3 linked regions of the Macaca mulatta genome follow. The protein of the gene in region 3 interacts with the protein of the main gene of each other region in a pairwise test. Links are inferred from orthologs where the notes say so. Each region holds a gene or a part of one and is shown on either strand. Other genes may lie near its edges. The genes, in order: AGTPBP1, SPTBN1 and TNIK.

The links.
Region 1: the proteins of TNIK (region 3) and AGTPBP1 interact in a two-hybrid assay, tested with the Homo sapiens proteins (2 studies listed by BioGRID and IntAct). The link is inferred for Macaca mulatta from reciprocal best matches to the Homo sapiens genes TNIK and AGTPBP1.
Region 2: the proteins of TNIK (region 3) and SPTBN1 interact in a two-hybrid assay, tested with the Homo sapiens proteins (2 studies listed by BioGRID and IntAct). The link is inferred for Macaca mulatta from reciprocal best matches to the Homo sapiens genes TNIK and SPTBN1.

The regions. Positions count from the first base shown.
Region 1 is NC_133420.1:116,466,375-116,469,718, reverse strand, and holds the end of AGTPBP1 (cytosolic carboxypeptidase 1), read left to right. Parts: intron 1-1,959; coding exon 1,960-2,137; 3' UTR 2,138-2,702; downstream 2,703-3,344. UniProt on the Homo sapiens protein: Metallocarboxypeptidase that mediates protein deglutamylation of tubulin and non-tubulin target proteins.
Region 2 is NC_133418.1:70,000,259-70,003,913, forward strand, and holds part of SPTBN1 (spectrin beta chain, non-erythrocytic 1), read right to left. Parts: intron 3,147-3,655; coding exon 2,883-3,146; intron 2,241-2,882; coding exon 2,016-2,240; intron 1,540-2,015; coding exon 1,450-1,539; intron 1,274-1,449; coding exon 992-1,273; intron 334-991; coding exon 203-333; intron 1-202. UniProt on the Homo sapiens protein: Fodrin, which seems to be involved in secretion, interacts with calmodulin in a calcium-dependent manner and is thus candidate for the calcium-dependent movement of the cytoskeleton at the membrane.
Region 3 is NC_133407.1:82,747,736-82,751,390, forward strand, and holds part of TNIK (TRAF2 and NCK-interacting protein kinase), read right to left. Parts: intron 224-3,655; coding exon 123-223; intron 1-122. UniProt on the Homo sapiens protein: Serine/threonine kinase that acts as an essential activator of the Wnt signaling pathway. Recruited to promoters of Wnt target genes and required to activate their expression. May act by phosphorylating TCF4/TCF7L2.

The sequences.
Region 1 (3,344 bases), on a different chromosome or scaffold from region 3:
CTGGCACAGTGCATAACTTTTTAGTATGTGTCTCTTCCTCACATTTCCATTATCATTTCTTCTTGTTATGACTGTCTCCAGGAAGAAAATAAGTATGTGGCAAGAGAAGGTTTGTCTTTTCTCCCTTCCCTCTTTTCCCCTTCTTTGCTTCAGTTAGTTTTCCATTTATTCTAAGAATCACCTGGGACTCCTCTGAGAATTTGAAATACAAACTCAAGGAGGAAGAATGAATTATTGTATTTCAAAAGAAACATGGTAAGTCATTTTAAAAGGCCAAATAAGGTCAGGCGCGGTGGCTCACACCTGTAATCCCAGCACTTTGGGAGGCCAAGGCAGGCAGATCACTTGAGGTCAGGAGTTCGAGACCAGCCTGACCAACATGGTGAAACCTCATCTCTACTAAAAATACAAAAATTAGCCAGGTGTGGTGGCGGGAGCCTTTAGTCCCAGCTACTCAGGAGACTGAGGCGGGAGAATTGCTTGAACCCAGAGGCAGATGTTGCAGTGTGTCGAGATCACACCACTGCACTCCAGCCTGGGCAACAGAGAAAGACTCCATCTCAAAAAAAACAAAACAAAAACAAAAAACACAAATAATCATTTCTTTTAACCTAACTTGTTTCTCTAAAGACCTAACAGATTCATACTAAATATTTTAGTTGCAAATTAAAAACTAAAATTGTTCTTGTGAGGGTTAGGTATGTTGTTGAGTCTCACACAATCCTCCAAGCCACTTAGCCTGATTTATTTGGACTACTCTATCATATTGCAAGCTCTGAACTTTTAAGAGGAAGTTTGCTACATTAAATCAAGGTGGTTTTGCAATGTATTTTTCTCTTTAATGAGCAAGATTAAAGCCAGTATAGGAAAAAAGGTACTCTTGCCAGATAAAGTCTTGCAAACTTCTCCGAAAATTAGAACCATGTAATCTATTAACTTTCCCATCCCACCTTAACTTCCAGATATCTGGACTGAATTTCATACTCAGTTGCATGAATTCTCTCATTTTAGGTGCCTAATGACATCTGCTTCTCTCTTATTTTAACAGATTATTGTTCCCTTTTCATTGTCTGATTTTATAGGTTTTAAATGCATCAGTTATAGGAAATCCTTTTTGGAAACAGGTGGGAAATAAATAAACATACATCTATATGAAATTAAGGTAGTTTTGGGCACTACTTTAGAGATTTTGAAATGTTTCTGTAGTGTTTCTTTGATACTGTGTGTGGGGGGGTGTATCTCACAAATAGGGAGATATCAGAATGATGTGATAATTTTCTAGGAAAGAATACGTTACAGAACCTAGTAGAAAAGTTGTCTCAGTCCCAAACGACTTACTTCATGAAATATTTAGAAGCACTTAGTGCTTTTAAGCAAATGTCTTATTCTGTGTCCTTAGGGAAAGTATTAATCTGGGTATAGAGTGTTCACTTGTTTTTCATTTTTATTCTTGACCTACAGAAACTCGGGGGGTGGGTACATGGGCTGTTTTTATGGCAGCTAATCACTTTATAGACTTAGAGTGAGTGGTTTTAGTGCATTGCTCGAGAAGCCAATTAAATGCTCACAGTTTCTTGTAAGGACTGTTGCAATTATTTTTGCCTGATTTACAGTGACTAAAGTAGAATTTAAAAATAAATCTTAGCTTGCAAATTGGTGAAGTCTTTCAAAGAAATAACCTGATGAGAGAGTTCACTGTTTTTTTAAGCTATCTAATGTTAGGATATATGTCGATACTCTTGTAATATAATTAATAATTCACATTTCACTGCTTATTGTCAATACAAGGAACTTTCACCTATTATAAATCTCAACTTGTTCATTTGGATAAGATTTTTAAAGTTAATGCAGCTTATATCATGTTGGAATCAAAGAGTTAGTCCAGTATGGTGAAATAATCTTACATTAGGACCTTAAGACCTAACAAAGTCTTGTATGGTCTGTGTGTTTTGGCTGCAGCCCTACCACTTACGTTTTGGATGAAGATGAACCTCGATTCCTTGAAGAAGTTGATTACAGTGCAGAAAGTAATGATGAGTTAGATATTGAGTTGGCTGAAAATGTAGGAGATTATGAACCTTCTGCTCAAGAAGAAGTGCTTTCTGACTCTGAATTATCAAGAACATACCTACCTTGAGCCCGCTACCATCTCCTGTTAACCGCAAAGAAGAAATGGAATATCTTGGTTTTTATTTCACAGGAAACTTGAGAGAAATGAGTTTATACAGAGCTGACTCAAAAAGACAAAAAGTAACTTGGGCCAGTTTGGTTTCAAGACAATAAATATGTTATTAATTAATGATAAAATTGGCACTTGTTTTATTTTAGATATTCAGTGCACTTTATGTAGCATTGAATGATCAAATATTGGATTTACCTTTAAAAAACCTGAGTATCATTGCATGAATTTTTATCTCCCTATGGTTATATCCTGCATCAAATGGATAATTTTGAAGTGTGTTCAGAATATAAAATTGAAATTTTAGAGTTGTTGAAAATCCTGAGTTGTTGAAAACTAATATATATGTACATGGATTTCTATAGATGTGTTTGTTTAGAAGTGGGTAGATATTGAAGATAAGACTGTTCTTCAGAATCATGTTAACTATTGGGTTGTGACTGAAGTAATCCAGGGTTTGCCTTGAAACCATTACATTCTACATTTACCAAATTAAACAAATAAAACTGTATTAAATGTTGCATTCATTTTGTCATCTTCTTTAACCAGCTCAGATTATTTGATGTATAGAACTTTGTGAGAATGTGATAAAAACCCAGAATTGGACACAGTGATAAAAAGTTGCTTTTAAGAAAGTTAGCTGGGCATGGTGGCTCATGCCTGTAATCCCAGCACTTTGGAAGGCTGAGGTGAGTGGGTCACTTGAGGTCAGGAGTTTGAGCCTGGTCAACATGGTGAAACCCTGTCTACTAAAAATACAAAAATTAGCCAGGAGTGGTGGCACGTGCCTGTAATCCCAGCTACTCAGGAGGCTGAGGCAGGAGAATCACTTGAACCCAGGAGATAGCGCCACTGCACTCCAGCCTGGGCGACAGAGTGAGACTGTCTCATTAAAAGGAAAAAAAAAAGCTGAATATGCTAGTCTTAAATTTTGTTATGATAGAGGTATACCCACACCTATCATAAGAGATATATCTGAAAGCCCATTTCTCTAATACTTTGCCTCATGGATATACCTAAAGTGTATCACTGCAGTTGAATAGTTTGTTAAGAAGCTTGCAAAATGCAGTGAGGAGATGATCTGATGTTAAATGTGCATTTGTCTGTTGAGCTTATTCAGCATCTCGTGAGCTGTGCTGTGTTATTAGACTTACTGAAGTGAATT
Region 2 (3,655 bases), on a different chromosome or scaffold from region 3:
AATTTCCTAGTGTAACAGTTCACCCATCCTAATCATGATAGGATGTTTTAAATGATGGGACTGTTTTAAAAATGCTTCTCAAAGATTTGCCTTACCAGCAATTCATGATGAATGCTGCCATTTTCTTTTGGTGGGGGTTAGCAAGAGACCCTCACTGAGAGGAATCGACAGCTGGGTCTCAACCTCATGAAGCAGCACTCACCTTTCAGGATGGCTGTCGGCCACCAGGGCCCGGCTGGTCTTGGAGAGCTGATGCACAGTCTCTGCATAGTCCTCCACAGCTTGTTCTAAGATCTGGTGCTTCTTCAACATGGAGACAGCACTCTGCTCATCCTGCAAAGACAGTAAAACGTCACAACCACAGCTGTACCCTCCGGCCCTACACCACCTTAAGGAGCGACAGACCAGCTGCTCAGCAGGGTAGGAGGAAGGATCAGTAGAAAGAGAAACTCCAGAGGTACGGTATGGACAGTGGAACACAGAAGTGTTCCAAGAGCTTTCATATGGACTGGACCACAGAAGCCTGTGCAGAAGATAAACACAAGGAGGACACAGAATGAGCAGGGCCCCTCTCAGAGAAAAGCTTGGGCAGACCAAGTGTGCCTGGTTCACTGGAATTCCTCAAGGTCCATCAGTTATGTAAATGACAGCATTCCGGGAACCTTGCAATACTTTCAAATTGTCTCCAAGCCATCCTGTATTTTGTAAAGTTTAGGGAACCTATAAATAGATAGCAGGAAGGACTCTGGCATATTTCAAAGATGAAGGGATGAACCTGGTCTTAATGGCACACTAGGGTTCAGATAAGAAAATGCTGCAGCAAAGGGAAACCAGCAGCTGGACTTCAGACACCTTCATGCACATGGTGTCCCCTTAACACTCAAAGGCTACAAGGGAAGTTTTTATGAAGACAGAGCCGCCAGCAGAAAGCAAGCTCAGGGTTTAAATCCAAGGTTCACCTGGGGCAGGGATGCTTCCCGCCTCCTCTCACCTTGGCCTTCTCCTCTGACATCATGTACAGCTCCTGCTCGCTCATCCAGGCTTCGGCCTCGGCAGCGTCAAAGTAGTACTGCTGGGCCCGGTGTGCCTCCTCCAGCCGCCTGTGGCGTTTCTCCGTCTCCTCAATGAGGAGACCCCACAGCTGCTTCAGGTCGGCAAGCCTCTGTCTGATGGCCTCAGCGTTGAGGCTGCTGCTGTCGGTGACGATGTTTTGGCTCCTCTCAAAGATGTCATCAATGCGAGGCTGGTGTCCCTGGATTTCTTTCTGGAGGGTCTGGAGGGAGTAGACAACACACACAAAGGCTTGCTAAATGGCAACCGTCTGGTGCTTATGTCAAGCTGTTAGGGCCAAAAAGAAATCGCAAGGCTTCAAAACTCTCTGCCATTCTCAGTCTCATAATTTAGAGCAATTATTTATCAGACAGAGATGGCCCGAGCAGAAAGGCTTACCTGATTTTTCTTTATTAACAGCTGCACAGTCTGGAGGTTGTGGCCATGATCCGTGGAAGTTGCCAAAGGCATCCTCTCTCCAACCCACAACTGGGAAAAATTGTAAATAAGTGGTCAGATCCACTCAGAGGAACAAATACACAACAGAAACAAGAGCGGTGAGGGGCAGTGAGGGACAGCAAGGGTGAGCTTCAGAGAGTGCTCAGCCCCCTCGGGAGGGCTGTCTGGGGAAGCATGCCGTTGTTCTCCGAGACAGGGGTAGGGAGAGTATTTCCAACTTTACCTCATCCTCAAGATCAGACTCACTGTGAGTCCTCATTACTTTTAAAAAGTCTGTTTTAGGGCCGTTAAAATCCTAGAGTATCCCTAGATAACATGAGAGGCACAATGGAGTTGCACTTAGTGTGAAAAGGGAAAGAAACTTTAGACCATCCAGAGCGTGGACTCTGACAGCTCAACTTGCCAACGTGGCCCAAGGTGAGGTTGACTGAGAAGTGAGAACATGGGCTTTAGGACAGGCAAGGGGGCTTGTGGAAAAGCCATGTGTGCAGCCGGGGTTGACTCACGATCTCGTCCTCCACATCCCTGTTGAACTGATGGATCTCTTTGGAGGCCAGCAGGTTATGCTTCCTCTCGTTCAAGGGCTCCAGCAACTCCATGAACTTGGTCTGCACGGTGAGGCGCTTGCTGTCCACCTCGTCGGTGCTCTTCCCTTCCTGACTCAGGGCCTGGGCTTGGCTTTGGAGCTCTTCGATCTCCTTCTTCCGCACTTCCATCTGATTCTCCAGCATCTGAAGGCAAAGAAGCAGCCTCAGCGCTCAGCAGAGACTACTTTTGCAGTGACTGGCTCTAAGCAGAACTGCTGGGCCAGGGACTTGGCCACACTGCAAAGCCAGCAATGGGAGCCACTGGAAGATTTTGCCACTGATTAGCTTTTTCAACATCAATGGAACTGTTTTCAAGTAAATTTGAGGTAAATTCATTTGCCCTTAAAGCCCTCTACAGTGATGTAATATAAACAGTTACTTTTATTATCTATAAAGTGCCTTGAACAACTCAGATAACTGTCACAAATCAAGATGTTAAACAACAAAGTATGTGAATATTTCTTTAATGTAAAATGCAGAATTGAGTGAGATGAGTATTTATTTAACTGTTAAATAGCGATAACACCTATTAACTAAGAAAATTATCAATCCCATACACAGACAGCCGACACCCAATACTCCTAATACTGTGTCTTTCTAGGCTGGACAGGTAGCTTTCTATTCTGGAAATGTTGTATGATGCTGTTAGAGCAAGTACTTTTCTGGGTTACAAATGCTTTCCCATGGAAGGTGGACTCCTGAGAATGCAGTGAGTGAGAAAAGACTGTAAGGACTACGGCTGTAAAACAGAAACAAACCCAAGTCCATGAAGGCTTGTCCACTTGCCTGTTGCTTTTTCAGCAGGATATTGACGCTGGTCAGGTCTTTGCCGTAGTCATCAGACTGAATCTGACTCTCCAGGCCGTGCAGCCATTTGTCTAGATCTGCGCAGCTCTGGGTGAAAAGTTCGGCCTTGTTTGCATCAAAGAGCCGCTGGGCCTTGGTCTGGGTAGTAGATTCAAGGACTTCCCACATTTCATGTAAACCAGTGAGTTTCTCCTTCACCACAGGTTCCGTCTCAGGCTTTTCTGAAATGAGCTGCATTCCTTCCTGGAAAACAAAACCAGCATGGTTGTAAATAAACAGTTTGCTACAGAAAAAATGTCACTGTGAAAAACAAACCTAGGACATTTGATCTGTGATTTACCCACTCATTCAACACACACAGTATTTCCACATGAAGTTACTGCTCAATAAAATCAACAATGGCCTAGCTTGCATACATTACATGGGTTTCATGGGAATGAAGCAATAAATGCTAAATGCTGAAACAGTTTCAACTGAGGCAATGGAAAAATGAATGCTAATAACCTGACTTCATCCCCTCTACTCCATGACCAAAGATGATATAAAACACATTATTACTATTGTTATTATTTTGAGACAGGGTCTTGTTCTGTCACCCAGGCTGAAGTACAGTGGCGTGATCTTAGCTCACTGCAACCTCTGCCTCCTGGGCTCATGCCTCAGCCTCCCCAATAGCTGGGATTACAGGCGCACACCACCAGGCCTGGCTATTTTTGTACGTTTCATAGAGATGGGGTTTCCCCATGTTGGCC
Region 3 (3,655 bases):
AGAGTACCTACACTTATTATCTATATGAAAATTGGTATTGGTCTATATGGACTATTTTATTAATGGGTAGAAACTGAAAATTTTTAAAAAGCACATTTTTAGATAATCACATGCCTGCTTACCTTAAATGCCATGAATTTATGATATGGTTTAGGAGCCCAAGCATATATTTCCACAGCATTCTTTAAGGCAATCACCAAAAATTTGATCCTTTCATATTTAACTGTAATAGAAAAATTATGAGTTAAGAAGTACATCAGGTTATTCAAGTTCTTTGTATTAATAATGAATGTATAAGCAACAATATGTAAATTTAAATATTGATGTTGGGTGTCAGCTTCATGAAGGTGATGTTCCTGGTGTGGGATTTTTTTGTCATAGATACTGATTTAGCTTCCCTTAGCGAACTTTGGTTGGCAGAACACTTATGGCCTTTGCTTTATATTGAAGACTCTCTTCATCATCCAGAGATATAACTGCTTAGGACTGTCTTTAACACTAGGTCTAGATGTTGATATTCATTGTAATAAGAATGCATAATTTCCTTCATGTTAGCTTGCCTGGCATTTACATTCACCCACACATAAGTAGCTGACAGCAGATATGGCAAGATGGTAGAAAAATCAGAAAATGGGCAGACATAAAGGCTGCCATTTGCTTATTATTTATATTTGAATTCCAGTTACTAAGTGAAATAATTGCTTGTTTATGCTTCTAATGAAAGGGGGTGTTAGGAGCCTTGGGTTCTGTTAATGACTTAAAGGGCTCCGAATACTGACAAATCCTTTTACTCTTTAGACAGATGGAATATTAAGCATTGTAAATTCTATGGACAGAAACTTAGTTCAATGATTGAGTCTCCACATGCTTTTGCCTCCACAAAGTAGTACTCAGTAAATGCTTACTGAATGGATGAATGGAAGAACGGACTGTTGTCTGGCATTCTCTTCATTACTCTTACCTGTGTGTGTGTGTCTCTGATATAATAAGCAATATTTACAGTGATGACCTTGAGAGATTGAACAATCCTTTAAGCGCCTTCTGAATCTTTGCTATTAAGTGTGGATTCTAATTCTTAGAGAATTCGTAATCCACAATTGGTACACATGGCAATCAATTTCTTTGTAAAATATCTCAACAGACAGAATATTCTGAGTCCTAAAGAAACTAGGTAGGAAAAATTTTAATATACTTAAATGACATTAAGTTTCCAGTTATTTGCTTTATAACTTTTCATGACATAAAGTGTTTATTAGACTATTTTTGCTCATCTCTTCACCTGAACCCTAGGAAAAGATCCATAGCAGTTGGCATTGAAGGAACATATTTCAAAATAATAAGAGCTATGTATGACAAACCCACAGCCAACATCATACTGAATGGGAAAAAGCTAAGAGCATTCCCCCTAAGAACTGGAACAAGACAAGAATTTCCACTCTTACCACTCCTATAGTATTGGAAGTCCCAGCCAGAACTGTCAGGCAAGAGAAAAAAACAAAAAGCATCCAAACTGGAAAAGAGGAAGTGAAATTATCTCTGCTGATGACAGGATCTTATGCCTAGAAAACCCTAAATATTCCTCCAAAAGACTCCTGGAGCCGATAAGTTCAGTAAAGTTTCAGGATACAAAATTAATGCACAAAAATCAGTTACATCAATAATGCTCAAGCCGAGAATCAAATCAAGAGTTCAATCCCATTTATAATAACACACACACACACACACACACACACACACACCTCACACACACCCCTAGGATAATACATTTAACCAAGGAGGTGAAAGACCCCTACAAGGAGAACTACAAAGCACTGATGAGGGAACCATAGATGACACAAATGAATGGAAAAACATCCCATGCTCATGGATAACAAGAATCAATACTGTTAAAGTGACTATACTGCCAAAAGCAGTCTACAAATTGCCAATGTCATTTTTTACAGAATTAGAAAAGACAATTCTAAAATTCATATGGAACCAAAAAGGAGCCCAAATTGCCAAAGCAATCCTAAGCTAAAAGAACAAAGTTGGAGGCATCACATTACCTGACATCAAACTATACTGTAAGACTGTAATAACCAAAGAAGCATGGCACTGATACAAAAATAGACATATAGATCAATGGAACAGAATAGAGAACCCAGAAATAAAGCCACATACCTACAACAAACTGATGTTCGACAAAGTCAACAAACATAAACAATGAGGAAAGGACACCCTGGGAAAGTTGGCTAGCCATATGCAGAAGAATGAAACTAGAACTTTATCCCTTACCATATACAAAAATGAATGCACAATGGATTAAAGACTTAAATGTACCCAAAACTATAATAAGAAAATCTAGGAAAAACTCTTCTGGATATTGGCCTAGGCAACATGTTTATGACTAACACCTCAAAAGCAAATGCAACAAAAACAAAAACAGACAAATGGGACTTAATTAAGCTAATGAGCTCCTGCGTGGCAAAATAAACAATCAACAGAGTAAGCAGACAGCCTACATGATGGGAGAAAATATTTGCAAACTATACATCCAACAGATTCTACAAGGAATGCAAACAATTCAACAAGAAAAAATCAATCCTATTAAAAAGGGGGCAAAGGACATGAACACACATTTCTCAAAAGAGGCAGTCAACCAACAGATGAACAAATGCTCAATATCACTAAACATCAGAGAAATGCAAATCAAAACCACAATGAGATACCAACTCACACCAGTCAGAATGGCTATTACTAAAAGGTCAGAAAAAGTAACAGATGGTGGTGAGGCTGCAGAGAGAAGGGAATGCTTATACACTGTTGGTAGGAATGTAAGTTAGTTCAATCTCTTTGGGAAACAGTATGGAAATTTCTCAAAGAACTAAAAATAGAACTACCATTCTACCTAGCAGCTCCACTTCTGGGTAAATCCTAAAGGAAAATAACTTTTTCTTTTCTTTTTTTTTTTTTAATCAAAAGGGCACCTGCATTTGTATGTTTATTGCAGCACTGTTCACAACAGCAAGGTCATGGTATCAATCTAAGTTGTCCGTTAATGTTTGATTAGATAAAGAAACTGTGTTATATATACAGCATGGAATACTACGCAGCCATAAAAAAAATGAAATTGTGCCCTTGGCAGCAACATGGATGGAGCTAGGCCAATCTCCTAGAGTAAAATAACCCAGAAACAGAAAGTCAAATAACACATGTTCTCACTTATAAGTGGGAGCTAAAAATGGGGTGCACGTGGAAACAAAGCTGGAAATAATAGACACTGAGGACTCTTAAAAGGGGAGTGGCAGGTTAAGGGCTGAAAATTTACCTGTTGGGTATAATGTTCGCAATTTGGATGATGAGTTCACTGGAAGCCTGAGCCTCACCATTATGCAAACTACCCATGAAACAAACCTGCATATGTACCCCCTGGACCTAAAATACATTTTAAAAAGAAAAGAAAAAAAATCCCTTCAGATTTTGCTTATTTTCAGGGTGAAAGAAGAAATAAATAGGTTCATATTTTTAAAGAAATTTAAAATCATCTTGAAAATAAAAACTTATCTAAGCACATATAGGCTCAGATAAATCAAGAAATATTTTAAATGGCTCTTGGATATACAATTTACTTTTCTTTTTTATTCTCATTTTGTATTTTTAAAATTTCACAATAATT